2 linked regions of the Ovis aries genome follow. The protein of the gene in region 2 binds, or shares a complex with, the protein of the main gene of each other region. Links are inferred from orthologs where the notes say so. Each region holds a gene or a part of one and is shown on either strand. Other genes may lie near its edges. The genes, in order: ASDURF and DNAAF10.

Evidence for each region.
Region 1: DNAAF10 (region 2) and ASDURF share a complex: the UniProt entries of both Homo sapiens proteins name them as parts of the PAQosome complex. The link is inferred for Ovis aries from reciprocal best matches to the Homo sapiens genes DNAAF10 and ASDURF.

The regions. Positions count from the first base shown.
Region 1 is NC_056055.1:119,665,734-119,681,293, reverse strand, and holds ASDURF (ASNSD1 upstream open reading frame protein), read left to right. Parts: upstream 1-2,374; 5' UTR 2,375-2,453; coding exon 2,454-2,543; intron 2,544-4,738; coding exon 4,739-4,792; intron 4,793-5,801; coding exon 5,802-5,877; intron 5,878-6,499; coding exon 6,500-6,570; 3' UTR 6,571-6,591; coding exon of another isoform or gene 6,592-8,100; 3' UTR 8,101-8,372; coding exon of another isoform or gene 8,373-8,554; 3' UTR 8,555-11,045; coding exon of another isoform or gene 11,046-11,319; 3' UTR 11,320-11,391; downstream 11,392-15,560. Other genes in the region: ASNSD1 (asparagine synthetase domain-containing protein 1), read left to right, coding at 6,592-8,100, 8,373-8,554, 11,046-11,319.
Region 2 is NC_056056.1:40,157,797-40,174,171, reverse strand, and holds the start of DNAAF10 (dynein axonemal assembly factor 10), read right to left. Parts: upstream 8,256-16,375; 5' UTR 8,157-8,255; coding exon 7,974-8,156; intron 1-7,973. Other genes in the region: RNA-binding protein PNO1, read left to right, coding at 8,680-8,886, 9,109-9,258, 11,428-11,511, 11,708-11,768, 12,008-12,125. UniProt on the Homo sapiens protein: Key assembly factor specifically required for the stability of axonemal dynein heavy chains in cytoplasm.

The sequences.
Region 1 (15,560 bases), on a different chromosome or scaffold from region 2:
TCAATAAAAAATCATACCTAGAAAAGCTACGAAGGAACACCTTGATAGTCTCTTGCCTATTTCCAGGTTTCGGAAAATTATTCTCATAGGAGTGAGATATTGCAAATACTGCATGGGGCATATATACTAAAATTACATTCATTTATCTGAAATTCATATTTAACAGGGAATCCTGTATTTATCTTTTAACCCTAACAACAAACTAACATTAGCTTTATCAAGTCTGTACAGGGTCATTACCAACAGTGTATCTCTTAAATCTGTGTTTGGCTTCCATATTTTTGCCTGCTGCTGCTGCTGCTAAGTCACTTCAGTCCTGTCCCATTCTGTGCGACCCCATAAAGAGCAGCCCACCAGGCTCCCCGTCCCTGGGATTCTTCAGGCAGGAACACTAGAGTGGGTTGCCATTTCCTTCTCCAATGCGTGAGAGTAAAGTTGCTCAGTCGTGTCTGACCCTAAGCAACCCTATGGACTGTAGCCTACTAGACTCCTCCATCCATGGGATTTTCCAAGCAAGAGTACTGGAGTGGGGTGCCATTGCCTTCTCCGATATTTTTGCCTCAGTTCAGTTCAGTTCAGTCACTCAGTCATGTCCGACTCTTTGCAACCCCATGAACCTCCCTGTACATCACCAACTCCCGGAGTTCACTCAAACTCACGTCCATCGAGTCAGTGATGCCATCCAGCCATCTCATCCTCTGTCGTCCCCTTCTCCTCCTGCCCCCAATCCCTCCCAGCATCAGAGTCGTTTCCAATGAGTCACCTCTTCACATGAGGTGGCCAAAGTACTGGAGTTTAGCTTTAGCATCATTTCTTCCAAAGAACACCCAGGGCTGATCTCCGTTAGAATGGACTGGTTGGATCTCCTTGCAGTCCAAGGGACTCTCAAGAGTCTTCTCCAACACCACAGTTCAAAAGCATCAATTCTTCGGCACTCAGTCTTCTTCACAGTCCAACTCTCATATCCATACATGACCAATGGAAAAACCATAGCCTTGACTAGACAGACCTTTGATGGCAAAGTAATGTCTCTGCTTTTCAATATGCCATCTAAGTTGGTCATAACTTTTCTTCCAAGGAGTAAGTGTCTTTTAATTTCATGGCTGTGATCACCATCTGCAGTGATTTTAGAGCCCCCCAAAATAAAGTCTGACACTGTTTCCACTCTTTCCCCATCTATTTCCCATGAAGTGGGAAGTGATGGGACCAGATGCCATGATCTTCGTTTTCTGAATGTTGAGCTTTAAGCCAACTTTTTCACTGTCCTCTTTCACTTTCATCAAGAGGCTTTTGAGTTCCTCTTCACTTTCTGCCATAAGGGTGGTGTCATCTGCATATCTGAGGTTATTGATATTTCTCCCGGGAATCTATTCCAGCTTGTGCTTCTTCCAGTCCAGCATTTCTCATGATGTACTCTGCATAGAAGTTAAATAAGCAGGGTGACAATATACAGCCTTGATGTACTCCTTTTCCTATTTAGAACAAGTCTGTTGTTCCATGTCCAGTTCTAATTGTTGCTTCCTGACCTGCATATAGGTTTCTCAAGAGGCAGGTCAGGTGGTCTGTATTCCCATCTCTTGAAGAATTTTCCAGTTTACTGTGATCCACAGAGAGGCTTTGGCATAGTCAATAAAGCAGAAATAGATGGTTTCCTGGAACTCTCTTGTTTTTTCAGTGATCCAGCGGATGTTGGCAATTTGATCTCTGGTTCCTCTACCTTTTCTAATACCAGCTTGAACATCTGGAAGTTCACGGTTCATGTATTGCTGAAGCCTGGCTTGGAGAATTTTAAGCGTGTGAGATGAGTGCAATTGTGTGGTAATTTGAGCATTCTTTGGCATTGCCTTTCTTTGGGATTGGAATGAAAACTGACCTTTTCCAGTCCTGTGGCCACTGCTGAGTTCTCCAAATTTGCTGGCATATTAAGTGCATCACTTTCACAGCATCATCTTTCAGGATTTGAGATAGCTCAACTGGAATGCCATCACCTCCACTAGCTTTTTCGCAGTGATGCTTTCTAAGGCCCACTTGACTTCACATTCCAGGATGTCTGGCTCTAGGTGAGTGATCATACCATCGTGATAACCTTGGTTTTTTCCTAGATAATAAATATTAAGCGGTGTTTCTACTGAGCTTCTATTCTTCATAGTCACCACTAGGGGGCGCATATAATTTACAGTCTACTAGATGCCACAGGGTAAAGAGCGTTTCAACATCCCAACCGCTAGGGTCCGTTCGGGCCCCTAACTTGTGCGCACGCGCGCGAGTACTCCTAGCCCAGATCCGGCCTGCGCAGGCGTTCCAGTGAGCACGCAGACGCCGTTGATAGGACTCACCGGAAATTGAAAGGGAGGGGCTGGGCCGCGGGGAGCGCAGACGCGCAGGGGCTGCGGACGCGGAACTGCTGGGGTGCCGCCCGGCCTCGCGCCCTGCCTGTTTGCTTCTCCGCGGAGATGCCCAGCCGGGGTGAGCGACCCGAGGACGGCGCTGGGCCCGTCCCTGCTGAGAGCTCGACCCTGCACAAGGACGAGCTCAGCAGCAAGGTGAGTGCGGGACGAGGTAACATGGCCCTCGGGCTGCTCACCGCCGGAGACGAGCCTCGGTGGCCGCGTGCTCTAGTCTCGACTTTGCCCTGCTGCGAGAGGCACAGTTAAAGGGACACCTTGAAACTTGCCCCGAGATTAGACCCAGATGGTAGTAAGGCGGAAGTTTAGTTGGTTTTATTTTATCAATTTTTAACATATTTTAAAGTATCATACAGTAAAATTTGGCTCTTTTTCGTTTTCTCTGTATTTAACACGTGTCTAAATTTGTGTGACCACCGCCACAATTGGAATATAGACAAGTTCCACGACCCTGAAAGACTCCCTTTATAGGCATGCTCTCCCCCGCCCAGAACCTCTGGCCGTCCCTGATCTGCTCTACATCAGGACAGTTTTATCCTTCCCAGCACATCATGTAGTGAAATCACAGCTTATGCCTCTCCAAGCTTAATGTCTTTGAGATTCACGGTTGGATTTTTTTCTATGTATTCTTAGTTAAAACTTTTAGAAATTACCTCCCACCCTAGATCTGCTGCCTGCGGTCTCAGAAAATGTCAGCGCCATCCATGCAGTTGTCCATGCCAGTAACCTGGGAGCCCATCTTTGCATCCGTCACGAAGTTCTGTCCTTTGTAAGGTGTCCCTTTATCACTGTGTACACTTTTAACCATCTTAAACCCGCCCCTTGCATGTGCCATAGGGAATCCTGCAAAAGTTTCCTAACTGGTCTCTCCTTAGCCATTGTTGCCTTCTTCTCCCCTATCCTTCATTTAGCTGGAGCGGAGAAGGCAGTGGCACCCCACTCCAGTACTCTTACCTGGAAAATCCCATGGATGGAGGAGCCTGGTGGGCTGCAGTCCATGGGGTCGCTAAGAGTCAGACAGGACTGAGCAACTTCACTTTCACTTTTCACTTTAATGCATTGGAGAAGGAAATGGCAACCCACTCCAGCGTTCTTGCCTGGAGAATCCCAGGGATGGGGGAGCCTAGTGGGCTGCCGTCTCTGGGGTCTCACAGAGTCGGACACGACTGAAGCGACCTAGCAGTAGCAGCAGCAGCATGCTCCTAAAAATGTTATTTCATTGTTGCTCTTCTGCTCCTCCCCTCACAAAAGGGAGCCAATATAAGGCCATAAATGGAAAAAAGAAAAAAAATTTTTTTAACATTTGAAATGAGGATGGCTATAATCTTTCAGGTAATAGATGTCTAAGATAATACTTTGGTTCTGTCCCAAACTGACACTGGCATCTTGGGCACATCTCTGATTCCTCTGTTACAGTTTCCTTGTCTGAAGTTCTAAAGTATACCTACCATTCCTAAAATGAATGGGAAAGTGCTATTCAAACATAAGCCTTAAAAGGAAGTTGTACAAATTCAGTCTTGGAATTCAACTCAATCTCTGTAATCAGTCACTACAGTGACTGGCAGCTGGAAAGCAGAAGGGTACACATCTGTGGGGAATGAATTTTCAGACTGCACACAGCCTGCTCTGATTCCTACCATAGCATGCCCTTTACTCTTGCCTGGTGGGCTCCTCCATGGGGTTGCAAAGAGTCGGACACGACTAAGCGACTTCTTTCACTTTTCACTTTCATGCATTGGAGAAGGAAATGGCAACCCACTCCAGTGTTCTTGCCTGGAGAATCCCAGGGACGGCGGTGCCTGGTGGGCTGCCATCTCTGGGGTCGCACAGGATGGGACACGACTGAAGCGACTTAGCAGCAGCAGCATGCCACTTATACTGATGTATGACAGATCCCCAGGCATCAGAGGTTACAAAATAACACTGTTTAGAGGCTATGGTGACACTGTGTAATCAATCATGTTTGCAGTATCACTATCATTACTGAAAAGAGTTTAAAAGAAATTTAGTTTCCATTTAGTTGAGCCCTGCTACTGCTAAGTCACTTCAGTCGTGTCCGACTCGGTGCAACCCCATAGATGGCAGCCCACCAGGCTCCCCCATCCCTGGGGTTCTCCAGGCAAGAACACTGGAGTGGGTAGCTATTTCCTTCTCCAGTGCATGAAAGTGAAAAGTGAAAGTGAAGTCGTTCAGTCGTGGCCAACTCTTAGTGACCCCATGGACTGCAGCCTACCAGGCTCCTCTGTCCATGGGATTTTCCAGGCAAGAGTACGGGCTCTTATTGAGCATGCTTTGATAATCTCTGATTTAGTACGTTTTCTTTATTTCAATAGATTAAAGAACAAAAAGTTGTTGTGGATGAACTTTCTAACCTGAAGAAGAACAGGGTGAGTTATTAGCATTACTCTGAATACTATGTGGGAGGATTTGATATCAACTGTATAAATCTATGTATTAATCATAGTTGCTGATAATCTTTCCCCAACATATGCAATTGACATTACCTGCGAATCAAATGATACTGATTGTACTATGTTATCCTGGAGCTTTAGTCAATAATGGTATTTATTTTGTACTTGAATTTGGTGTATTCTTTTGACATAAACATTGAATCTGTTGAGAAGAGGAGAAGCTATACAAGTGAATGTGGATAATTATTTTTTGTTTGTTTATTTTTTAAAAAAGATAAATGCTACCACCTCCTCTCCCTACCTCCTCAGGTTTTTACTCCAAGCTTCCAAATCCTTAACGTGGTTATTTAACTCCATTTTCATTAATGTATTTATAGATAAGCAAGCTTCTGCTTAGTGTGTCATTATACTGCCAAACATTGTGTTTTAAAGTTAAGAAATGATTTGAGCCCTTTAAAGCTTTTAAAGGTTACTGGATAACAGACAGGTTAGACATTTCTCATATGTGGAGTAGCAGTTAAGCTACAGTTGATAAACTTTGTATAAGGCAGATTGGCGAAATGTATCAGTCTTAAAGCTGTGTAATATTTTGATCTAGCAAATCCAGTTTGATTCCTATTTATAGGAATTGATACATTAGGAAAGTATCATGGAGTACACAGAAATTTAGTTACAAAGACATTCATCACAAGTTTGATTTATAATAGTAAAAAGTTGGCAACATCTAAATGACCAGATAAACTATAATATTACTGACGAAAAATGATATTAAGTATATTCAGAGAAAAAAAAGTTTTACCTCAGTGTTAATGGTAGCAGTTTCTAGATAGTTGGATAATGGGTGAGTTCTTTGTTTATCTTTATTTGCCAAGGTATCGTTCTGAACATGTTACTAAAGTTCAATACTAAGTAATAATAGGGTTCAGAGTTTTGACATCTACCTTTTAGATCAAATCATGATATTAGCCTAAATTATGTTTTGCAGAAAGTATATAGGCAGCAACAGAACAGCAACATATTCTTTCTTGCAGACCGAACAGAAATGCTTTCTGAAAGCAAAAGTAAGTTTTTTTGGCACATTATACAGAAACAAAAAGAAATTCTTTTGTGGGCTTTCTGTGGAAATTCATGATGGTGGCTAAATTATACTGTCTACAGCTGAATGTATAAATATATATATCTAAAGATTGGATGGTGGTGTACTAGTTAATAAAATTAGTGGAATGGTTTGGTTTTCTTCAAGTTAGCCTTCTAATGCTGAGTTAACAGTAACAATAAAATCAAATTTAAGAACTATAAGATGTGTTGGAAAGCCACAATAATTAATGTAAGCTTTGGAATTTTAGTCAGATATAGGTATGAAAGATTATTCTACCAATTTCCGCCTTTTTGATTTTGAGTGAATCACTTTGAGCCTGCCAAGTCTTACGGAATTTAAATAAAATGATATGTGTATAAACTGTGCATAGCCCAATGCCTGGGTCAAAATAAGCATTTAACAGCAGAAACTAGATTCCTAAATAATAAACATTCTTCATCAGAAGTCTGTTGTAAATTATTATTGAAACTGGCACAGTACATATGTGGTTCAATCTTGGAAAAATAGCTTGTTTTGCCTTTTAATTACTAGGTAAAGCTTCAAGAATTTTTATTCTTTACTGTGTCTTCTCCCCTCTCCCACAGACATATTGGATGAGCTGAAGAAAGAATATCAAGAAATAGAAAACTCAGAGAAGACCAAAATCAAGAAATAGCCAACTTGATTTTACATAGCAATGTGTGGCATTTGTTGTGCAGTAAGCTTTTCTGTTGAGCATTTTAGCAGAGGTTTGAAAGAGGATTTACTGTGTAATCTTAAACGACGGGGGCCCAATAGTAGTAAACAGTTACTAAGGTCCAGTGTTAACTACCAGTGTTTATTCTCTGGCCACGTCCTTCACTTAAGAGGTGTATTGACTGCCCAGCCTGTGGAAGATGAAAGAGGCAATGTATTCCTGTGGAATGGAGAAGTCTTTAGTGGGATCAAGGTTGAAGCCGAAGAGAATGATACTCAAATCATGTTTCATTATCTTTGCTCTTGCAAGAATGAATCTGATATTTTGTCGCTCTTCTCAAAAGTCCAAGGTCCTTGGTCTTTTATATATTATCAAGCATCTAGCCATTCTTTATGGTTTGGTAGGGACTTTTTTGGTCGTCGTAGCTTGCTTTGGCATTTTAGTAACTTGGGCAAAAGTTTCTGCCTCTCTTCAGTTGGCACCCAGGCATCTGGAGTGGCCGATCAGTGGCAGGAGGTTCCAGCATCTGGAATTTTCAGAATTGATCTCAAATCTGTTTCCATTTCCCAGTCTGTCGTTTTAAAGTTGTATCCTTGGAAATACAATTCTGGGGGGGATGATATCAGAGAATGTGTTAATAGCCTGACTGAGATTTCAGCAGACTTGCCAACATTTGTCTTGGTGGCAGTAAATGAAGCCAAACTGTATCTTAAAGAACCTGTTGTCCCTTTAAATAAGGCGTTGCCGCAAGCTGCATTTGAGACCCATTGCAGCAGCATTTCCAGGAGTCCACTGACAAGAGAGACCCTTCGGGTCTTTCTTACTGATGGACACACGAAGGAAGTAGTTGAGCAGTTCATTGGTGTCCTGAGCATCGCAGTCAAGAGACGTGTCTTGTGTTTACCTAGGAATGAAAACCTGGCACCAAGCGACGTTTTGAAAACTAATAACAGGAAAGCAAATGTCGCAATTCTGTTTTCTGGAGGGATTGATTCCATGGTCATCGCAGCCCTTGCTGACCATCATATTCCTTTAGATGAACCAATTGATCTTCTTAATGTGGCTTTCATGACTAAAGAAAAGACTGTACCAGTTAATTTTAACAAAAAAGGGAGAAAACAGAAAAATCATTGTGAAATACCCTCTGAAGAATTCTCCAAAAGTGCTGCTGCTGCTGCTGCTGCTGCTGCTGCTGCTGCTGCTGCTGCTGCTGCTGCTGCCGCTGCCGCCAGCCCGGGTGAACAGTTCAATGTACCAGATCGAGTCACAGGAAGAGCAGGACTGAAGGAACTGCAAGCTGCCAACCCTTCACGGATTTGGAATTTTGTTGAAATTAATGTTTCTCTAGAAGAACTGCAAAGATTAAGAAGAACTCGAATATCGCACTTAATCCAGCCCTTGGATACAGTCCTGGATGATAGCATTGGCTGTGCAGTCTGGTTTGCTTCCCGAGGAGCTGGCTGGTTAGTGACCCAGGATGGAGCACAGCCGTATCAGAGCAGTGCAAAGGTATGGCACAGCTGCTCAGAATTTCTGAGACCTAATTTTGACCCTTAAAGCTTTTAACGCAAGTTGCAAGAATATAGCGTCTTTTAATTGCATTTAAACTACCACACAAAGTATATGACTTTGTAAAAACTGGGCATACTTCACTATCTTATGTCTGCCTTGTAGATTTTTTCTGAAAATGTTATCTTTGGGGTTATTACTTTTTTAAGCTTTTGCTTTCCTTACTGCATGGTAGGCAATATTGTGACATAGATTTCTCTCAACCTTTGTAGGTAGTTCTTACTGGGATTGGTGCGGATGAGCAGCTTGCGGGTTATTCTCGTCATCGGGTCCGCTTCCTGGCACATGGGCTGGAAGGACTGAATAAGGAAATCGAAATGGAACTGGGTCGAATTTCCTCTAGAAATCTTGGTCGTGATGATAGAGTTATCAGTGATCATGGAAAAGAAGCAAGGTAATTCTTGTCTGTTGCAGGGTTGTTCGGTAATTTTGTGAAAGCGGTGGACTGAACCTAAAAAGGAGACTTGTAGGTCCCTTTTTCTTTGGATACTTGTCCCGGTGAGTAACAGGAGCAGCAGTATCTTGGCTTTGTATTACAGTTAGTCAGAAGCAGTGATGGAGAGGAGCCAGAGGAACAGTGTTTCCAGAACTCATTCTCCAAGAAATGGCTTTACAGTAATTTTCAAAGGTGGTACAATGATGTGATTAAAGGCTACAGTGAAAGATTGTAAAACTTGAGGTAGTGAAATACTGAGGGGAGGTATTTCAAGGGCTCTGTTTTGTTTCAAATGTTTGCTTTCTTCCCAGGCTTCCTCCTCCAGTGTTACAGAGCCTGACTCTGTAGACATTTCTTGTATGTACAGGCGTACTTGGAAATCCTGCATGCTCAGTTCCAGACCATTGCAACAAAGCAAGTCAAACGAATTTTTTGGTTTTCCAGTGCATACAAAACCTATCTTTATACTATGCTGTAGTTTATTGAGTATGCAGCCGCATGCTTTTATGTTTGCTGTATTTAGATGTAAATATGTATTTAGTATTTAAAATATGTATTTATGTATTTTGATATAAGTAAACATAACATTTGTCTAAATTTTTATATATATACCTTAATTTAAAACTACAAAAAGCAATCTCAGTGATAACATCAAAGATTATTTATGTTATCACATATCACCATAAGAAATATAATTGTTTCTGTTGTTGTTTAGTCGCTAAATCATGTCCAACTCTTTTTGCAACCCCATAGTCGCTCGCCAGTGTTCTCTGCCAAAGGGATTTCTCAGGCAACAATAATGGAGTGGGTTGCCACCATTTCTTCTCCAGGGATCTTCCTGACCCAGGGATTGAACCCAGGTCTCCTGTACTGGCAGGCAGATTTTATACCACTGAGCCACAAGGGAAGCCCAACAGATATAACAAGAAAAATGTGAAATATGGAAGCATTTCCAAAAACGTCACCCAGAAACATGAAGTGAGCAAATGCTGTTGGAAAAATGGCACCACTGATAGACTTGGCTCGTCACAGGGTTGCCACAAACTTTTAGTTTGTTAAGGAAAAAAAAAAAAAGAGCAGTCTCAATGAAGCGCAATAAAACAAGATCCATACTGATTTAAACGGTGGTTCCAGTACTGGAGTCCCCTCTATCATAGGTGTTTTGAACACAATTTAGTCATAAACATTCCAAGTTATCTTAATAGTTTCAGAGATCAAGGCATTTACATGTGTATATTCTTTTTTAATCTTAGGGATTTGTGTTTACCTACAACATGTTTCTGATGATAGTAAACAAATGCTTGAATACAACTTTTTGAAGCATTAAGGAAAAAGATGTGTCGTTGAATTATAGAAAGCAGAAGTTTGTTCAAGTAGGTTAATTTATTAAGTGGTAGTTTTATTGCAGGGGTACAAGCATGCAAGGAGTCCAAATGAGCTTTGTGGGAGTTGGAACATCATAATATACCAGCTCTGGGACATCATTGTTTCTTGTCTCTACTTTGTTATTCCCATGTTGCCAGTTCTGACATTTAAAATTAACATAATTTTCAAAATTCTATCATAAAGAAATAAGTAACACCACAATACAAAGTGTATAAAATGTTTTCCTTTTGAAGTGTATCTGTATATGAGAGATAATTCAGCCCACTTCAGCTAAGTTAGAGAAAAGAGAATTTATTTTATTCAGTAAAAGCAGTTAATTCTAAAAGACCCCCCGCCACCCCGCCATATGATACTCATGGATAAAAATGGATATGAAGAATGTTTCAAACAGCTAATGCAGAATTGTAGTTGAACTAAACCAGTTTATTATGGATTTGGGCATACATATTAACCATATTCTGTTAATTAGTTTCTCGTCTAAATTTGCTTTCACAATTCATTTTTATAAAATATTCTGTTTAAAGAATGCCTTTACCCTTTCCCATCTCTCTGCTTAAGCTAAAGTGAAATATAAAACACTAGTATAATTGCGGATGGGGGAGGGATTCAAGTATTTTAAACAAACAACAGAATTTGCTAGGAAATTAGGGGAACCTAAAGAGCAGAGAGTTGTATTCCTTAAGTTCAGTTTCTTTAGACATGTAAAGAGCAGACACAGGTTGACTTATCAACTCAAGACCATGCTTATTTTCAAGGCATTCCTGAAGATACCTTATGAAACAATTTGAAATTATTTCTTGACATCATAGGCTTAATTTATTTTATTTATTGAGGGAAAAATTTTTTACATTTTAGAATGTGTATTACAGTTAGACAAGTGTTGTGAAATAGTTTTTAACGTGATTAAATCTTAGCTGTAAAGTTATGTAAATAGAATATTTTTAATTTAGAAAAATTGTGCCTTCAATAATTAATTTATACCTTAAATTTTAACATATTGAATAAAATACAAACAATCACAAGAGATAACTTTTTTAAATTGTGGTTATACTTTTTATTTTAGATTTCCTTTCCTGGATGAAAATGTTGTCTCCTTTCTAAATTCCCTGCCAGTCTGGGAAAAGGCAAACTTGACTTTACCCCGTGGAATTGGTGAAAAACTAATTTTGCGTCTTGCAGCAGTGGAACTTGGTCTAACAGCCTCTGCTCTTCTGCCAAAGCGGGCCATGCAGTTTGGATCCAGAATTGCAAAAATGGAAAAGAATAATGAAAAGGCATCTGATAAATGTGGAAGGCTCCAAATCATCTCCTTAGAAAACCTTTCTGTTGAAAACTAGATGTTTCATAGTGTAACAACATTTACTGAATGGTGGTTTTTTAAAAAAAAAATAAAATACTCTGCTGCTTTATTATTGCATAATGTGTTTTTAAAGTTCATTACATGAATTTTTATATAACTTTGTAGAGTAGTGCAACCAATTTAATCAAATTGATACTCCAGAGAAAGAGATTACACTTGAAAGAACAACCTGGATATTTTAAACTGTGATATTAATATTGTTTTGAACTCTTACATGGTTATGTCCCACCAGCGTCACTGAAAAAAGGCAGCTTTTATGGACTCTCTTCATGGTAGCTACATCCAGAAATACTAGTATAAGTCAATTTGTTATTCTTTAACAGACGAGAGAACTAAGGCTTTTGAGGTTCACACTCCTGAGTGATGTGTGGTACATCTCTTTAGACAGCTCACGGCCCTGCTCCGAGAACTTTTGAAGACTATTTTGAATATTCTCCTGTCCCACAGATCTCTAATGTCCCTCTGTTTTCCCATTGTCAGTTCATGACCTGGGCGTTTCACAGAGAAATCAAAATCAAGCCAAGGACGACTTGGTTTTCCAAAACCAAAAGTCCTAATTTACCTGTGTGTGCACCCATCCTTTTCTCCCTTCTTGCTATTAGAGAAATGTATTTAAAATGTTCTAATATATACCAATTTAAAATGCATATCCCTGGTCCCACATCTTCCATCTCTTGCCTCCCATTCACCTTCACCCTTTCAACCTTTTTACCTATTTACTGAAGTTCACTCCAACCAGACTTCCACCCACAGTATTCATTCGTGACCATGATACCAAGGTCACATTTGGCATCCATCCCCACTTAGGGCTGACACCCTTTCTAGGTCTGGACATACTGTGGTTCTCCTAAGTATAGTGGGAAAGAAAGGATACTAGCAGGCGTGTGTCAGGGCTTTCCAGCTGGCTCTAGTGGTAAAGAACTTGCCTGCCAATGCAGGAAATGTAAGAGACATGAGTTTGATCCCTGTCAGGAAGCTCCCCTGGAGGAGGGCATGGCAACCCACTCAACAGTATTGCCTAGAGATTCCCATGCACAGAGGAGCCTGGTGGGCTACAGTCCATAGAGTCACACAGTTGGACACAACTGAAGCAACTTAGCACAAGCATGTGTCAAAAGATCTTCACACGCCCTGAATTTATTTCCCATCAAATGCAGTGTTCAAACGAGATTCAGATATTAACTGAATAGCTTTAAACTGGATGACTTCATGGTCCTGAGCACTAAATTGATGCTCCTAATGGGAGTAGATGAAGTTTGCCCTGCACCCCAGAGTTCAATGTAATGATTTTTATAACTATAGTTCAATACTAAAGATGCCAGGCACTAGTCTGAATTTTACATGTATTAATTTAATCAACTGAATCTCTGAAGGGAATCTCTAGTTCACTTGTTCTGGCAGGATGCTCTGTGCATGTCTTTTGTTTGTTTGTTTTTTTTGGTTTTTGTTCCGTCCCCAAAGGGCCTGATTTTTTACAACTTTTTTGATACCTAACCCCATAAACTGGAATGAAATTCTGTTAATCCTTCAAACAAAGCAAAAGTCTTTCCCAAGATCCCACATAAAACAAACTATCTGCATACCTGAACAAAACCTTTTAGGTAAAGAAATTTACGTTACTCATACTTCATAAGTGCAAACATGCAATTCCTAAAGAAGACCGTGGTTTGACATCCCTTGCCCTGGGAAAGCAATAACAAATTTACTAATACTGCCACCACAGCAGCTAAAATAATGACATGGTTGGACTAAGAAATTCTACCTTCAAACAGTTAAGCAAAACCCTGCTGCTGCTGCTAAGTCGCTTCAGTCGTGCCTGACTCTGTGCGACCCCATAGACAGCAGCCCACCAGGCTCCTCCGCCCACGGGACCCTAGGCAAGAACACGGGAGTGGGTTGCCATTTCCTTCTCCAATGCATGCATGCATGCATGCTGTGTCACTTCGGTCATGTCTGACTCTGTGCGATCCCACAGACAGCAGCCCACCAGGCTCCATCCCTGGGATTCACCAGGCAAAAACACGAGTGGGTTGCCATTTCCTTCTCCCACCAAAACCCCCTCTGTTGCTAAATTCAGTGAAAGGTTTGGGTTCTCATCGCCCTTGACCTGGAGCAGCATCCAGTGAAGTTGGCTTCTATGACCACACTTGGTTTCTGCTCTCCTGGCGGCTCGCTGTTGGTATTCTTTCCTGCCTCCACCCTCTCCACATGACCTTTAAATAATTAAATCCCTCAGGTCTCCATCCTGGGTTCTCAAGTCTCTATTCTCTTTCATGGTGATTCCAGCCATTTCCCTGGCTTCATTTACCCTAAGCCAGCCCGAGTGTATTCGTGTAGCCCAAGCTGCTGCTTTTAACTCAGACCTTTGTATCTTAGGCACATCTGACACCTCTGCTTGGTTCTCTCACAGGTAAAACTGAACTCTTAATCTTGCCCTGATCCTGCATGTCTGACAAACTTAGGTGTCGCTACATGACCACCGTCTTTTTAAACTTTCCCACTACTCGATCTGTTGCCAATCAGCTCTCCTTACTTCTCAAGCGCCCCTACTCAAGCCTGTACCTACCTACCCTCTACTGCCACAAATCAAGCCCATACTCTTGGGATAAAGTTCAGAATCTTTAGCCCTCACCTACCTCCTCATCATATTTTTGTGTCCACGTCTTTCTTGTTCTCCATACAGAGTTTTGTTCCATTGCTCAAAAATTGAACTTTTTTCTCATCTCAGTTGCTCGTCACCTGTTGTTCCCTATCCTCGGAAAGCTGCTTCTCCAACTCTCTGCGTGGATAGATCTTTATCAGGCTCAGCTTAAAAGATCACTTCCTCAGGGCAGCCTTTCCCAGCCCTGGTCTTAGTTAGCATTCCTTCACATGCTGTTATGACATCATACACTTACGGCATTGTTTAAATACAGCTGTGTGCTTATTGGAGGAACTAACCTTGGGGCTTTACCTCTGCCTTTTCCAGGGTCTCCAGTGCCTAGCTCATAACCAGCGTTCTGTAAGTGTTTATTGAAGGAAAGAATGATGGTAGAGGAGGGATTCCAATTCAGGACTACCTCAGAGCCTGGTGCCTTGCCAACGCCACACTTCTGTGCTTCCTTGGAGTCAAACTGTCAAAGTAAGAAATGATAGAGATGGTGGTTCACCTGGTGAAGAATCCGCGTGCAATGCAGGAGACCCAGGCTAGATTCCTAGGTCGGGAAAATCCCCTGGAGAAGGACTAGGCTACTGACTCCAGTATTCTTGGGCTTCCCTGGGGGCTCATACGGTAAAGGATCTGCCTGCAATGAGGAAGACCCAGGTTCAATCCCTGTGTTGGGAATATCCCCTGGAGGAGGGCATGGCAATTCACTCCACTATTCTTGCCTAGAGAATTCCATGGACAGAGGAGCCTGACAGGCTATAGTCCATGGAGTCACAAAGAGTCGGACACAAGTCAGCAACTCGACTGAACGGGACTTGGGCTCTGAGCACCATGCTGTGTGTTGTGTGCTTAGCTGCTCAGTCGTGTCCGACTCTTTGTGACCCCATAGACTGCAGCATGCCAGACTTCCCTGTCCATCACCAACTCCTGGAACTTGCCCAAACTCATGTCCATTGAGCTGGTGATGCCATCCAACCATCTCATCCTCTGTCGTCCCCTTCTCGTCCTGCCTTCAATCTTTCCCAGCATCAGGGTCTTTTCAAATGAGTCAGCTCTTCACATCAGGTGGCCAAAGTATTGGAGATTCAGCTTCAGCATCAGTCCTTTCAATGAATATTTGGGACTGATTTCCTTTAGGATGGACTGGTTGGATCTCCTTGCAGTTCAAGGGACTCTCCAACACCATAGTTAAAAAGCATCGATTCTTTGGTGCTCAGCTTTCTTTATGGTGCACCTCTCACATCCATACATGACTATTAGAAAAACCAAAGCTTTGACTAGACGGATCTTTGTTAGCAAAGTAATGTCTCTGCTTTTTAATTTGGTGTCTAGATTTGTCATAGCTTTCTTCCAAGGGGCAAGCGTCTTTTAATTTCATGGCTGCAGTCACCATCTGCAGTGATTTTGGAGCCCCCCAAAATAAAGTCTGTCACTGTTTCCACTGTTTCCCCATCTATTTGCGATGAAGTGATGGGACCAGATGCCATGATCTTCATTTTTTGAATGTTGAGTTTTAAGCCAACTTTCTCACTCTCCTCTTTCACTGTCATCAAGAGGCTCTCTAGTTCCTC
Region 2 (16,375 bases):
TGGTATATAAATGTACGAAGCCCTCTGAAGGCTGACCTTGCAGGTCTCTCTGACCTCATTTCCTGCTTCTCTCCTTTCACACTCCAGCCACACCTGCGGCTGCATTTTTATTATCCAGGCTCACCAGTCCTGCGGCCTCAGGGTATTTGCATTTGCTGTTCCCACTGCCTGGACTAGGCCTTCCCAGGTGGCTCACATGGTAAAGTGTCTGCCCGCAAAGTAGGAGACCTGGGTTCGATCCCTGGATTGGGAAGATCCCCTGGAGAAGGAAATGGCAACCCACTCCAGCACTCTTGCCTGGAAAATTCTATGGACAAAAGATCCTGGTAGGCTACAGTCCATGGGGTCGCAAAGAGTCGGACACGACTGAGTGACTTCACTCTCCTACTGCCTGGACTGGTCTTCCCTCCTCTCATGTCTTCTACCAATGATTTCAGCTTAAATGTCAACCAACGCCTCTAAGAGATCCTCCCCACCCCTCTAATCTTAAGTGAAACCCCCAGATCCCAATCACTTGCCCTGTTTAATCTTATTTCACTTATCAACAAAATTCTTTTATTCACTCAGTTATCTATTTCCTCCCTTCCTAGAATGAATACCACAGGAATGGGGCCCTCAGCAACTTGTACAACACTTAATTGGTGCTCAACATTTGTTAAATGAAAGTATAAATGAACATGGATTAACTTCTCAGTCCCAGTGCTGGAGAGAGGGAAACCACTGCTGGAGGTCATGTTCCCTTTTCTCCGCCGTATTTGCACCTGACAGACCACAGTTTTTGGTGTCATTTTATATGCAATAATAAAAACAGCATCCGTATATGGAACACCAATGTATCAGATACTGCTCTGATGTCCTTCTGTGCTAGTCCATCCCTTCTCTTTCTAACACATGCCACTGCAAACTAAGTGTTTGGCACACCCCTTTCCAGATGACAAGCAGGTTCAAAAGATTCCTACAGTCAGGTAGATCCCAAGCTCTTTCTACTACACTACGCTGTCTCCAGGACTATATGTAAATCAGTTAAATAAACATTTCCTATGTAGCCCCCATTCTGTAAAACCGAGCCCTGAGAAGTCCCAAAGAAATGCTCCAATCCTGAACTAGACTGGTGAGGTAAGTAAGGCCTGACTTAAACCTACTTTCAGATTTGTGTCCTTTGGTTTCTACCTTCATTTTATGTCTTCATAAAATGTAAACATGATATTTATGCTTCCTGTTATTTTTTTATTCTTGCATCCTTTTATCAAAGGATAGCCATATATTCTTATATCAAAGATTTAACTAGTAGTCTGTTGCAAATGATGTTTAAAGAATCAAATTAAAGATCAATAATCAAATTAAACTCAAAATACAGAACCATACTGAAAAATAAACTCAAATGTGTAAACATCTTGTTATCTGCACAGCAGGGAGGGCTGCGCTTTGCTCAAAGGCTGAGCTAGGTTAATTAGCTAAATTAAGAAAGGACATTGGAGTAAAGTTAATTTTTCTTTTTAATAGTTCATAAGAGGGACCCCTCCTTGTCCCTGTTAAATGTTTTACCTTTGGAAAAGAAAAGATGAAAAGAATTCAGGGGACACTTAAGTTTTCCTGCTAGAAAACTGGTTTAAAAAAAAAAATGGAGATCTATTTTGCAAAATGTGTTCCATAAAGTAAATTAGAATGTATTAACTTTCGCTATGATACTGAAAATGACAGTGGATGACAGACATATTTGACCCCCAGTTGTTGGTTCTCTTTGCTCTAAGTTAAGATGATTAAGGAAGCCCATGATCAATAATTCCCAGCAGAGCTATTTTTGTTCTATCTGTGGGTGGGTCTAGTACAGCTTGTCAGTATTTCCTCCTCCACATCCTGGCACTACTTAATTAACATTAAAAGGTTTAGTCAACCAAATGTTAACAAGCAGTGAATTCAGTGGCACAGGGGCTAAGAGAGCAGAACTTTATTAGATTATTACTAATTTTTAAAGTGTAAACATCCCCAAATGTGGCACTTTTCAGGGCCACCCCTAGTCCTTTGGGCCAAGTCGGGGGGGGGGGGGGGGGGGGGGGGGGGGGGGGGGGTGGAAGGCGCCCTTTACAGGCTGATGGAAGTTTCACACAGGAGGGGAAAAGCTGGAGAGAGATGGATTTCAGCCTTCACTTGAACCCTTGGCCAGATACCTGTGTGCAGTTTAACAAACTACTCAATTGTATACGAAGACCCTGCCTTCATTCCCTATCTATCTGATTAGTAATAAGGAGGCACCAACAAAGACTCATTTTCTTCCTTCCTTTTTATCCTGCACCCACGGACTCTGGAGCACAAGGCTGAAGTAGTTCTACAAGGATAAAATCAAGTTTCCTAATATTTGATGTTTCCTAATTTTTTAACTAATAATTCAACTAGCACAATGATAGCTAGAAACTAACTTAGCTTTAGAAGAGGGAAAAAGAGAGAAAAGAAAGGAAAATGCATTTGGGAAGCTCCAAAGGTACCTAGAAAAGGCAGAGGAACCAGAGATCAAATTGCCAACATCCACTAGATCATCGAAAAAGCAAGAGAGTTCCAGAAAATCATCTATTTCTGCTTCATTGACTATGCGAAAGCCTTTGACTGTGTGGATCACAATAAACTGTGGAAAATTCTGAAAGAGATGGGAATACCAGACCACCTGACCTGCCTCTTGAGAAATCTGTATGCAGGCCAGGAAGCAACAGTTAGAAATGGACATGGAACAACAGACTGGTTCCAAATAGGAAAAGAAGTACATCAAGGCTGTATATTGTCACCCTGCTTATTTAACTTATATGCAGAATACATCATGAGAAACGCTGGACTGGAAGAAACACAAGCTGGAATCAAGATTGCCAGGAGAAATATCAATAACCTCAGATACACAGATGACACCACCCTTATGGCAGAAAGTGAAGAGGAGCTAAAAGCCTCTTGATGAAAGTGAAAGAGGAGAGTGAAAAAGTTGGCTTAAAGCTCAACATTCAGAAAACGAAGAGCATGGCATCTGGTCCCATCACTTCATGGGAAACAGATGGAGAAACAGTGGAAACAGTGTCAGACTTTATTTTTTTGGGCTCCAAAATCACTGCAGATGGTGACTGCAGCCATGAAATTAAAAGACGCTTACTCCTTGGAAGAAAAGTTATGACCAACCTAGATAGTATATTCAAAAGCAGAGACATTACTTTGCCAACTAAGGTCCGTCTAGTCAAGGCTATGGTTTTTCCTGTGGTCATGTATGGATGTGAGAGTTGGACTGTGAAGAACGCTGAGCGTTGACAAATTGATGCATTTGAACTGTGGTTTGGAGAAGACTCTTGAGGGTCCCTTGGACAGCAAGGAGATCTAACCAGTCCATTCTGAAGGAGATCAGCCCTGGGATTTCTTTGGAAGGAATGATGCTAAAGCTGAAGCTCCAGTACTTTGGCCACCTCATGTGAAGAGTTGACTCATTGGAAAAGACCCTGATGCTGGGAGAGATTGGGGGCAGGAGGAGAAGGGGACGACCCAGGATGAGATGGCTGGATGGCATCACGGACTCGATGGACATGAGTCTGAGTGAACTCCGGGAGATGGTGATGGACAGGGAGGCCTGGCGTGCTGCGGTTCATGGGGTTGCAAAGAGTCGGACACGACTGAGCGACTGAACTGAACTGAACTGAACTGAAAGGTACCTAAGCGGCTCAGTGGTAAAGAACCTGCCTGCCAATGCAGGAAGCTCAGGTTTGATCCCTGGGTGAGAAAGAGCCCCTGGAGGAGGAAATGGCAATTCACTCCAGTATTTTTGCCTGGGAAACCCCATGGACAGAAGGAGCCTGGCAGGCTGCAGTTCATGGAGTCGCAAAAGGATAAGACACAACTTAGTGACTAAACAATGAAGACAGTCAACCCTACTACTCATTAGAATCATCTGTTGGAAGTTTAAAAGATACTGACCTCTGGGACTCAAACTCGTCTAGAGGCAAGAAAGAGTCCCAGTGCATCAGTTTCCAGGGGTGGAACCAAGGCATGAATATTTTAAAACACGTACACCCAAGTACACCCAAAACAACAGTAATGATACACATTCAGATGCTCCTGGAGCACAGTAAGAGCTGAGAATCACTGGGACTGTCCTTAACCTATATTCTTTTCCACGGCATCATCACAGCCAAATACAATGTAAGCTCTTAAATCTGTTTGTGCATTTGTTTTACCCTCACTTTAGGCAGTAGGTTGTTTAGGAGGAAGGACTCGTCTTTCAAATAACTTTGGTCCTTCTTTATCATAGTACCTTGAAATGATAGGTTCTCAATGGAAAATTTATGGTAGAGAAAGAGAAGACTCAAAGGATACAGGTGAAGATATAAAAAGTGGATACTCCTAGTGTCGAGGTGGGTGACATCAATTCACTTCTTTTCCCTATCTATATTTTTGGTATATTCTATCATGAACATACATTACTTTAGTTAAAAAGCAAAATTATTCAAAAAAAAATACTGCTAGACTCTTCCAGAATTCTAGAAGAGACAAAGAACACAATTTCTCTTTACAAAATAAGTGTATTCATGAAATGTACACAAGTCATAAAGCCCTACTAAAAACATGTCACAAAACTCAACTCTGGTTGAGTTTTGACTAGTATTTATTCCTAATAGTTCACCATTTTCTTTCTCCAATTTCAATGTTTCCTACGTGTTCAAACTCCTGGCCTCAATCAATTAGTGATTAATAAGTCAATATTTAAATGTTCCAAGTTATATTCTTTTACAGACATAAATTCACTCATTCTTTTAACAAGTCACTTATTGAGTGGCTGCTCCTTTTATACCACACTAAAGAAAGATCTGTCCTTACTCTCTGGGAGTTTATAATCTAATTAGAGATACATGGGACAGAAGGATATATTTCTAGCACAGATAATAATGGTACTTATGTACCATAGGAAAGCAATAAAGAAAAGTTACTTTATGTGGGGATCAGGAATGAGATGTCAATAGTCAAATAATCTGAACTGGATCTTAGAATAGCAACAGGTGACTAGGGGCTAAATGATGAAAAACATAAGGAAAGGTAGGAAAGAACATGCCTTGCTTAGGAGCAGAGTGCCTGCCTGGCCAGCAAAGACAATCTGAACAAGAAAAGTAGCATTTATAGAAATTTAAAATGGGATGAGGCCTTACATACTTTCTAATCTAAGCTTTCCTAGAGAAAGTGTATGCATCCTTTGCCTATCAGTTGAGGCCCTAACTCCTCCAAGCAGATTCTCTCCATAGTTTTTGGTCCCTGGAGTTACAAACTTCCCTGTAGTCTATGACAGTGCTAACATCTGAGTATAACTGATCTTTTTTTTTTTTTTTTTGCTGCTGCTGCTGCTGCTAAATCACTTCAGTCGTGTCCGACTCTGTGCGACCCCACAGACGGCAGCCCAACAGATTCCCCTGTCCCTGGGATTCTCCAGGCAAGAACACTGGAGTGGGTTGCCATTTCCTTCTCCAATGCATGAAAGTGAAAAGTGAAAATGAAGTCACTCAGTCGTGTCCGACTCCCAGCGACCCCATGGACTGCAGCCTACCAGGCTCCTCCGTCCATGGGATTTTCCAGGCAAGAGTCCTGGAGTGCTCTAAAGGCATTTAAAAACTAGTAAACAGATATAAAAATGTTAGTTAATATCCTTATTCTCCAATTCTTCCATTAGTGTAATCTTTACAAAACTTGTAAACCTAACCTTGCCACACCCTGCATAAAGCCCTTCACTGAAGTCCCATTTTTCTTACAAAAACAGGCACAAATCTTTTAAATGATCTACAGCATTTGCAAGGCCTCCTCTCTGCTGTTTTGTTCCAAAAGGAGATAATCTCTCTCCCTCATTGCTGAGCTGTTTCCTCTTGGAAATCTCAACTCCTAATTTGACCTACTTAGCTTTTACTCAATGCAAATCTGGTTTTCTGGTTTTGTTTTTACTCTCATAGAACCATGTGCCTTTACATTAGAGAATTCATCTCAGTTTGTGTTTTATGTATTGTTAGTTTGATTATTTAATTGATTCTCTCTCCCACTAGGAAAAAAAAACTCCATAGTAATCAGGGACATTGTCTGTCATTTACTAGCTGGAGAATACCAGGCAATCAACTGACACTTGTTGAAAGAATAATTGTTTTGGATTGTCTCCTCCAATTACATAGTAGGCATCCTAGTGCCTGCTTTGGCTCTGCTTGTATGACCAAGTATTTTACTATCTTGGACCCATTAAAAGACTCTCCACAGATAAAGAACTAATCTCAAAAATATACAAGCAACTCTTGCAGCTCAATTCCAGAAAAATAAACGACCCAATCAAAAAATGGGCCAAAGAACTAAACAGACATTTTTCCAAAGAAGACATACAGATGGCTAACAAACACATGAAAAGATGCTCAACATCACTCATTATCAGAGAAATGTAAATCAAAACCACAATGAGGTACCATTTCACGCCAGTCAGAATGGCTGCGATCCAAAAGTCTATAAGCAATAAATGCTGGAGAAGGTGTGGAGAAAAGGGAACCCTCTTACACTGTTGGTGGGAATGCAAACTAGTACAGCCACTATGGAGAACAGTGTGGAGATTCCTTAAAAAACTGGAAATAGAACTGCCTTCTGGTACTGCTAAGTCGCTTCAGTCGTGTCCAACTCTGTGTGACCCCATAGATGGAAGCCCACCAGGCTCCCCCATCCCTGGGATTCTCCAGGCAAGAACACTGGAGTGGGTTGCCATTTCCTTCTCCAATGCATGAAAGTGAAAAGTGAAAGGGAAGTCGCTCAGTTGTGTCCCACACTTCTCGACCCCATGGACTGCAGCCTTCCAGGCTTCTCCACCCATGGGATTTTCCAGGCAAGAGTACTGGAGCGGGGTGCCACTGCCTTCTCCAAGAACTGCCTTATGACCCAGCAATCCCACTGCTGGGCATACACACCGAGGAAACCAGAATTGAAAGAGACACGTGTACCCCAATGTTCATCGCAGCACTGTTTATAATAGCCAGGACATGGAAGCAACCTAGATGTCCATCAGCAGATGAATGGATAAGAAAGCTGTGGTACATATACACAATGGAGTATTACTCAGCCATTAAAAAGAATACATTTGAATCAGTTCTGATAAGGTGGATGAAACTGGAGCCTATTATACACAGTGAAGTAAGCCGGAAAGAAAAACATCAATACAGTATACTAACGCATATATATGGAATTTAGAAAGATGGTAACGATAACTCTGTATGCGAGACAGCAAGAGACACAGATGTATAGAACAGTCTTTTGGACTCTGTGGGAGAGGGAGAGGGTGGGATGATTTGGGAGAATGGCATTGAAAGATGTATAATATCATATATGAAACGAATCGCCAGTCCAGGTTCCATGCATGATACAGGATGCTTGGGGCTAGTGCACTGGGATGACCGAGAGGGATGGTACGGGGAGGGAGGTGGGAGGGGGGTTCAGGATGGGGAACACGTGTACACCCGTGGCGGATTCATGTTGATGTATGGCAAAACCAATACAATATTGTAAAGTAATTAGCCTCTAATTAAAATAAATAAATTTATATTAAAAATAACATTCAAAAAATAAAAAGAAAAAAAGACTCTCCACAAACAAATGCGCACTGCCCAGAAACGCCTCGAATTTAAACGTGAAGTTATAACGTCACCTCCAGGGACCTCGCACTGGACTGGGAGAAGGGTGGGGATGGCTGGAGGAAGGGACCAGCAAAGCAGGAATGAATTAGCCCGATGAGAATTCAGGTCTCGAACGAAAGCGTTTTACGTCGGAATTATTCCTCAGTCTGCGGTCAGATTCGCTACTCCCGCGCAGTTTCAGCACCGCTTTGGGGGGACGCTGGACAAAGGCTTTGGCAAAAAGGAACGCAGAACTCCCGCCCCCAAGATCCGCACTCCCCTCCAGGAGCAGTCCCAGATTTTGGAACTGGGAGGTCTCGACCCGGCACCCACCTCCCGCAGCAGCTTTAGGTCCCCTTGCTGGATCTCGTACAGCTGAATGACGCCGGTGCCCCGTGCGAAGTTGCCCATGGTCACAAATTTGGCGCTGCAGGGCATCCACTTACAGTCAAACACCGTGTAATTGAGGCTCTTCTGGATATGCGAGATGATCTGAGGCTTCTCAAAGGCCGACATGGTCCAGCCGAGAGATTTCGCCTCCGCCAAGCGGGACACAGCCAACAAACCCTGACGAAACAAACCTGGAAACCAGAGTCCAAACGTTACGGATAGTTTGTCCCTCCCGCCTGCCGTAGGCGCCCCTAGAAACCTAACAAGCAGTTTTAGGTTTCTCAGATAATGCCGGATGCTCTAGTGCAGGCCCACAAGAGTTTCCTTCCCCAACAACACAAACTTGTTATGGCTTTACCTAGTGCCTTTCGTACAGATACAGATTATGGGTTATAAAGCGCGCTGACTGCGAGAGGTGTGGGCAGAGGGCGAACCTAAGAATCAGGCATATTTTAGGACAGCCCTCCCTCCTCACCAACAAACACGCAGAAACTCCCGCTTTAGGTCCCCCGCATGGGACGTCTTAGGAAAGAGGGCGGAGCCCTGGGGCTGGTTGGCGGAGGTTGGGGGCCTGTGAGGCGCGCCTGCGCGGTACAGCCTCGCACGTGTTGAAGCTGGAAGCTGAGGTTGGGGCTGGAGGCTCTGGAGAATGGAAAGCGTGATGGAGGCACAGAGCCCGTTGGCCGAGGACGGCTTCAGTCAGGTCACCCGCAAAGGTGGCCGGCGGGCGAAGAAACGGCAGGCTGAGCAGCCGTCCACGCCGGAGGAGGGAGGCGACGCGACCTGCATGGACACCGAGGAAGCTCGACCCGCTAAGAGGCCCGTCTTCCCGCCCCTCTCCGGGGACGGGTTCCTGGTACTGGCTGGGACCGAGGAACAGGAACGGGGCTGGGGCCAGAGACGGGTCGGCCCGGTGGCCTCTGGGTGATGACGCTTTTTCTGGAGTGAAGCTCAGAGCGGCGACTCTCCTGGTGTTTAATCTGTCCAATTAAAGGAGGCTTTTTGAGGATCAGTTGTCGTTACAACTTCACCCTCATTCCTTTAAACAACTGCTGAGTTGTGTTTTCTTTTGTCGTAGAATGGGAAAGAAGAAACCAGGAAAATTCCAGTCCCAGCTAACAGATACACGCCACTAAAAGAGAACTGGCTGAAGATATTTACTCCTATTGTGGAGCATTTGGGACTTCAGATACGCTTTAACTTGAAATCGAGGAATGTTGAAATCAGAGTAAGGAGACTATTAACCACTTTAAAATATGCCGAGGTTTTTCTGTCCTAGGAAGAAAGAACAGACTTTCTAGGAATTCTTAGTGGGACTTACCTTGTTGAATGAGTTTCTTCCAGTTTGACCTGAAACTAAACTAAACTACCAGCTGCGTTTCAGCACATTTTAAAGTGTTCTGTGTTGATTGATTAAAGGGTTAATAAAGAGGTTATCGTCAATAGAAGTATGTAAATGAGCAGCCGAAGTACTTGCTGTAGTACAGATACTATATTTTAGTGTTACTTTTTAGGAAAAAATAAGTTTTGAGAGTAAGTGTAAATTACGTAAAAATATTTGTTTATTCATTCCATGATGTCAGTCTAGGAGGTGGACAATTAAAATTAATAGATGGGGTTTTTTTTCCTGTGGATTCCAATTGTGCATTCGAATCAGTGACCAAAATTAATTATATCTTCCATTTTAAGGATTCATTATCAGGGTTGTTATAGACTTATTTCTGTTGAGGGGTTAGAATAATGGAGCAAAGCAGAGAGGCACTGTCCTAAATAGTTGGCAGAGTTTAAAATACAGAACTTGACAGAATTTCTCCTTGTTCTCACTGTCAGTTTCATTTAGGTTTTTATGGTTTTCTGCCAGAACTTGTTTGCTTATAAGTTTGCTTTCTTTAATATCTTTAAATCTCATTTCGCTTCTCCATCCTTCTTGCCAGAGCCAGATTAATTTTCCCAGACCACACTTCTTTTATTGATATCTTGATATCTACAGTATCTCTGAAAGATAAAAATATTTGAATTTGACTTTAAATTAGGAATCTCATTCCCAAGTCCTCTTACCATTGCTTTGAACATTTTTCTTGTCCCTCCTTATGCTCTGTGAAGACCTTGTCCTCCCTACTTCCTTTTCCTTCCTACTTCAGTTTCATCATCTTTCAGAATCTAGCTCAAGTTCTTTCTCCTTTACTGCCAGTCCATTTTTTTCAGTCTAGTCTTCAGGGCTTAAACTTATGTTTTGCTGACTGATAAAAGGCTTAATAAAGAAGTTGTCAGAGTCTCTTGATTATGTATTGCAGCACCATCAGTTTGGACTCCTCTGATGTTTGTTGATATTGCTCTGTACCAGACACAGAGTGGCGCTTTGGCAGGCATTACATCATTTTGGTCTTGAGAACAGCCCTGTGAGGTAGATAACATACCCCATCTAATAGATGTGAGGAAACTGGCCAAGGAGTATCTTGGGCAAAGTCATCAGTGCTGGTAGGGACCTCTCAGGCTCTTCTGTTCCAATTTATTTTACAGATGAGAAAACTTAAGACTTAGAGCATTCATGAGACGTGCCTAAGGTCACATATGGAATTGGGACTGGGATCTGTAGTTTTAAATGTGCTGTTACACAACCCTGCATGGTTTCAAAGTTGCCAAATACAAACACAGCCTCCTCGACTCAACTGTGAGTCTGTGTGGAAGAGAACTCATGGTTTTGGAATCAGATCCGGGTTCAGATTTTACTTTTTCATTATGGTGCTTGAGTTTCCTCTAATGTAAAAGTATTTATCTTGCTTAAATTTAGGTTGACAAGAAGATCAGAGTTATAGTGTTGTCAAGCATCTTTGCAGTTCGTGTCATTTACAGGGGTGGGCATTTTATGAAGAGCACCTATTTCTGTGATTATCAAATAAAATCTTTGAGGGCAGGATCATTGCCTAAACCGTTCTTGGTAGTTAGTACTAGAGTTGTTGCTTTGGGAAGGCAACATCAGCACAGGAATGGTGGTTGAAGTCGGGAGGTTAGACCTGGACTCCCAGGGAGATGGCACTGAAGAGGACCAGCTTGGATGGAAATGAACTGAGGATGGAGGTACTTCAGAATGGGAGTGAGTGGAGGAATCTTGCCAGTAGCTCCAGAGTCAGATCAGCCATGGAGTCCAGTCGGTCTTTTGACAGTATTTGAAGGGGAACTGCCCAACCCTGGAGCTAGCAAAGTTTTGTTTTGAAAACTAAACACAGTACTTACCTCACCAAAAACTGGGTCACAGAGAATTTATTGGGAAGGGTGATGGTGAAGGAAATTACAGTAATGGGAAAGGTCAGTCCTAGTAGTTTGCTAGAATGTTGCCGTTTTCATTTCCAGCTATAATTTGTGCCTCTTACCCCACCTTTTTTTTTTTTTTAAACAGACTTGTAAAGAAACTAAAGATGTTAGCGCTCTGACAAAAGCAGCTGATTTTGTGAAAGCCTTCATTCTTGGGTTTCAGGTGGAGGTGAGTGATTTCATGATAGCTGAAATGGGGAGCTCAGAAAACACTCCACATGAATGTTGTGATAGATTTGGGCATTTTTTGTTTGTTTTTTAATTTGAGTGTTCTAGTTTTACAATTTATGAGTTAGCTTAACACTCACTCACTCACACAGGTACTTGAATGGAAGCACTTCACAGTATGTATTTCTGTATTGTAGGATGCACTTGCCCTTATTAGACTGGATGACCTCTTTCTAGAGTCCTTTGAAATTACAGATGGTGAGTGTATGGTGGTCTTTTTGTATGAATTCCTGGATGGTACTTTCTTACTGCTGACTTTGTATTCTGCATGACTCTCAGCTTTCCGGTAGCATCAGTTGAGCCGTATTCTTAGCAGCTTTTAAAAAAATGCATGTTTTGTGTCTTTTAGGAGGGAAATTTGGCTAATGATTAAACTCCTGTGGAAGTGGGTAATGCTGGAATGGCTTCCTTCCTGAGGTCTTGCTTTTCTCATTTAGTTAAACCTTTAAAGGGAGACCACCTGTCCAGGGCAATAGGCAGAATTGCTGGCAAAGGAGGAAAAACCAAATTCACCATCGAGAACGTGACCCGGACACGGATAGTTTTAGCTGATGTGTAAGTATGTAGTCTTGAGAAAACTATTGTCATAATTTACATTTGGTCTTTTGATGGTTTCAAGAAGTGATTTAGATTGTATTTATGCATGACGTAACTTCTAAATCTTTGTGAGGATATGCTTTTGGCTGAACAGTTAGCTACACTGAGAGCAGATTTAGTTGAGAAAAATCTTAGATATTATAGCTTTTTTCTCAGTTTGCAATGAAGGAAATGTTGAGAATCACTGTTAAATTACATGACGGGAATATTTAAATAGTATCACGGGAGCCGATTAAATCAGCAGAGGAGAGCAAGAAGTATGCGGGTTCAGTGCCATTATGAGTCTTTACTTTAAAAAGAGAATAGGCTTATGGACGTGGGGAGAGGGGAGGACAAGGTGAGATGTATGGAAAGAGTAACATGGAAACTTACATTACCATGTGTAAAATAGATAGTCAGTGGGAATTTGCTGTATGGCTCAGGAGACTCTAACAGGGGCTCTGTATCAACCTAGAGGGGTGGGATGGGGAGGCAAATGGGAGGGAGGTTCAAAAAGGAGGAGATATATGTATACCTATGGCTGACTGATGTTGAGGTTTGACAGAAAACAACAAAATTCTATATAGCAATTATCCTTCAATAAAAAAATAAAAACATAAATGTATATATACACATGTGCATGCACGAATATATAAAGGCCTTTCATAAAGGGAAGATGAGTGTTGCACATTGTTGGGAAAACTACAGAGCAGTTATATATGAACATCAGTAAGATGATATGGGCTTAAAATAAGGGTGCAGGAAGTGAAGCTGGGATTACCCTTCTCTGCCTGCGGATGAAGCCGCCCCTTTACCAGCTTGGGGTTACTGGCAGATGGCGCAGAGATTATACAGTGCCGAGAAGTTGGGAAACGAAGCAGTTGACTGTGAAGAGGAGGGATCTGCCTGCTACTAAATCCAGAAATAATTTTATTTAAAGTCATCTCATCTTTGCTCTGAGCTGAGGGGCTCACTATTATTTTCAAATCTAAATTTTAGACTATTTTTTATACTTAAGTAGAAAACTGTTAACACTGCATTGGTGGCCCTGTTTACCTGAAGGTAAGTGTGTTACAGTGTTGACGTTTCACGACTTGAGCCTGGAGATGGGGCTCCAGAGTCATGGGAAAAGCTCTCTTGAACTAGAAATTTCAGTAATTTTGAAGTGTGTACTATACTTTAAAATATCATATACAGTCCTAATAGTTTTTTAATTTAGAAGTTTTAAAATGTAACTGATTTGCTGTAATTCTAATTATTGTTAGGACATAATATTAAGTTTATAATTTATAAAAGCTTCCCTCATAACTTACTTAGTAAAGAATTTGCCTACAATGCAGGAGACCTGGGTTTGCTTCCTGGGCCGGGAAGATCCCCTGGAGAAGGAAATGACAACCCACTCCAGTATTCTTGCCTGGAGAATCACATGGACAGGAGCCTGGCAGGCTAGTCCATGGGGTCCAAGAGTCAGACACAACTTAGAGACAAACCACCACCAAGTATTATTTCTAAGGCTTGGCTTAAAATTTCCTTGTCAAATTCATTTTTTAAATAGCTGTATTACAGTATGATTTTCATTCAGATAAAGTCACCTGTTTTAGGTGTAATTTAGTGAGATTCTGGCAAATAGTCTATATAGTCCTGTGATCCCTCCACACTCAGCTGTGTCACCCCAAAACTTCCCTGTGCATCTTTGCAACCCCTCCCGATTCCCAGGCCGTCGCTCATCTCCTTCCTGTCACTAGGGTTTTGCCTTTTCTTGCAATTCATGTAGGTTAAAAATACCCAGTATGTAGTCTTTAGTGCATGACTGTTTTTAGATAGCATGTGGGTTCAAGTTTCTCCGGTTTGTTGGTGGTTAGCAGTAGGTTTTTTTCAAGTGCCAAGTACCAGCAAAGAGATATACTGTCCTGCAGTTTTTACTGTAGGTAGGCTAATTGGAAATGCATGTGTTCGGCAACTCATGTTAATTATGACATAGTAATAAGATGGACTGCTATGCACCCGTAAATGTTCTTTTTGATGAGTTGCTGAAAACCTGGCAGAGTAGAATGTGAACACGATATAAAACTAACATCCATTTGTTCCAGATACATTCAGTATATCGAATGGGAAAGAGTACTGCCTATGTTCTGGAGACCTATATACATCCCATTCCAACTACTGCCCTGAAGCTTTGTTTTAGTAGCTAAACTACTCACCCTGTATGTGTTTTTGCTTCTCTATTTCCTCATCTTTCGTGCCTGACTTTTACAGTTTTATTTTTGTCAAAGTTATATATACACATGCTTAAACTTGCCACTGTCTACTTCCATTTCCACCTCCGAGGGAGGAAATTTCAAGTCTTCAAACTGAGCTCTTCTAGCTAAATTTTAAACGTTATTTATCTCTGTATCTCCAAATATCTCTATATACCAGCTTCATTTTTCTTTTTTTCAGATTCACTGTTGATTTTCTCCTGTGAAAGAGGAAGACTTGTACTGTTTCGTCCCCCGCCTCCCCCTCCACCCTCAGTCAGCCTTTCAGCAGGCGTTTGCTCGCCTCCCTGTACTCTGGGTTTTGCTCAGTTCCCGCTCAGTGTTGTCTGAGTATGCATTGGTACTGGAGTACTACCAGCTGAGCCAGATAGTATAGTGGGCTCATCTGTCCTTTGCCCCTTTGCTGTCACATGAAGAAGTCATGCTTAATGTGTCTCTGTGCCTCCTCAGTGTTGCAGTGACTAGAACGCTATACCTGTATCTCCTCTTGGTGGGCTCAGACATATCAGACATTTTTGAAGTCTCTGCTGGAGGTTTCTGTTCCCAAAGCACTGTTCCCTTCTACCTGGCCCACAGCTGCCATCCTGGCTTCTTTCCCCAGTGCCCTTTGGTGCCTTTGGTGTTTGAGCCCCTCGGTTCTTGGATTCTTTGTCCTGCTTTGTTTTGGTGCCACAGATGGTCCTGGAGCTGGCTTAGCATAGGAAGGACATTTGGTGAGACCTGGTTTTGAAGATGTCTTCCACTTTGTTGTAAATGATGTTCATTCAGAGCTGCTTCTAGTAACTTCATCTTCTAATCTTTGTCTTCAGTTTTCTTAATATCCTGACCTTGATTCATGAGTGAGTGAAAACTGCTTTTCTCATCGAACTAGTTCTGTTTTTCTTTTCTCCCTGCAGAAGTTTCTGTACCGCTTTCTTCGCCTGCTGGTCACGCCGCCTACTCTTTGTATTAGATGCTTTCCTCGGGTTCTGATTCCTTATAGTGAGAGTGTTCTGTGTAAAAGTGGGACCATAAAGAGTAGACTAGAAACCCTGGGCTCGGGGTGCTTGGGGGTGGGGGTGGGAGAGACTGGTGGACTGTTGGGCTTCACTTGGGTGATTGCCAGGCTGTTCCTTTGGGGAAGCCCTGATGTCAGTATCTTTAGTCTTTCCCATTGAGGCCAGTTTCCCCTGAGACGTATTCTCTAGTCCTTCTGCTGACAAATGTCTGGAAGCCAGCTGTCTTTCACTGTGCGGATGTTCACATGACATTGCCTCCGTTCTGGTCATGGTCTTCCTACTTCTGCTGTGCCTGGTGCCCCTGGTCGAGACCCCAAGTCTTTCGCCTTCTCCAGTGAGCCGCTTGCCCTTAGTTTTACTGGAGTAAAAGAAAGGGTAGTTGGATGGTTGCCTGTTGCCTAGAGTGGGGAAGAAAACCTGGGGATCATCTTGAACTGACTTTAACTTGTTCTCTTGTTTTTAGCCTCAGTTTTCCTCCAGTTTCAGAAATGTCTGAGCCTGTGGTGTGAAGAGGGTTCTGCTTTGGGAGAGGGTTCTTCCCCTGTAGATTTTGGCTTCAGTTTCCTAAGTTTACTGATATTTTGAAGTGAAATGAAGTGAAGTGAAGTCGCTCAGTCATGTCCGACTCTTTGCAACCCCATGGACTGTAGCCTATCAGGCTCCTCCGTCCATGGGATTTTCCAAGCCAGAGTGCTGGAGTGGATTGCCTTTTCCTTCTCCAGGGGACTTTCCCGACCCAGGAATCAAACCCGGGTCTTCTGCATTGCGGGCAGACTCTTTACCGTGGGAGCCATCAGGGAAGCAAAAAGTAAAATGCTATAATATCAGTCTAATTGGAGCCATTCAGCAAGGAATGCACAGTAAAAGGGGTCTGGATAATCCTCAGTGATGAAGAAATTTAGATCATTTTTAGAAATATTTGCATTTGAAATCCAAATATATTTTAACTAAGTATAGTTAATGCATCTAATTT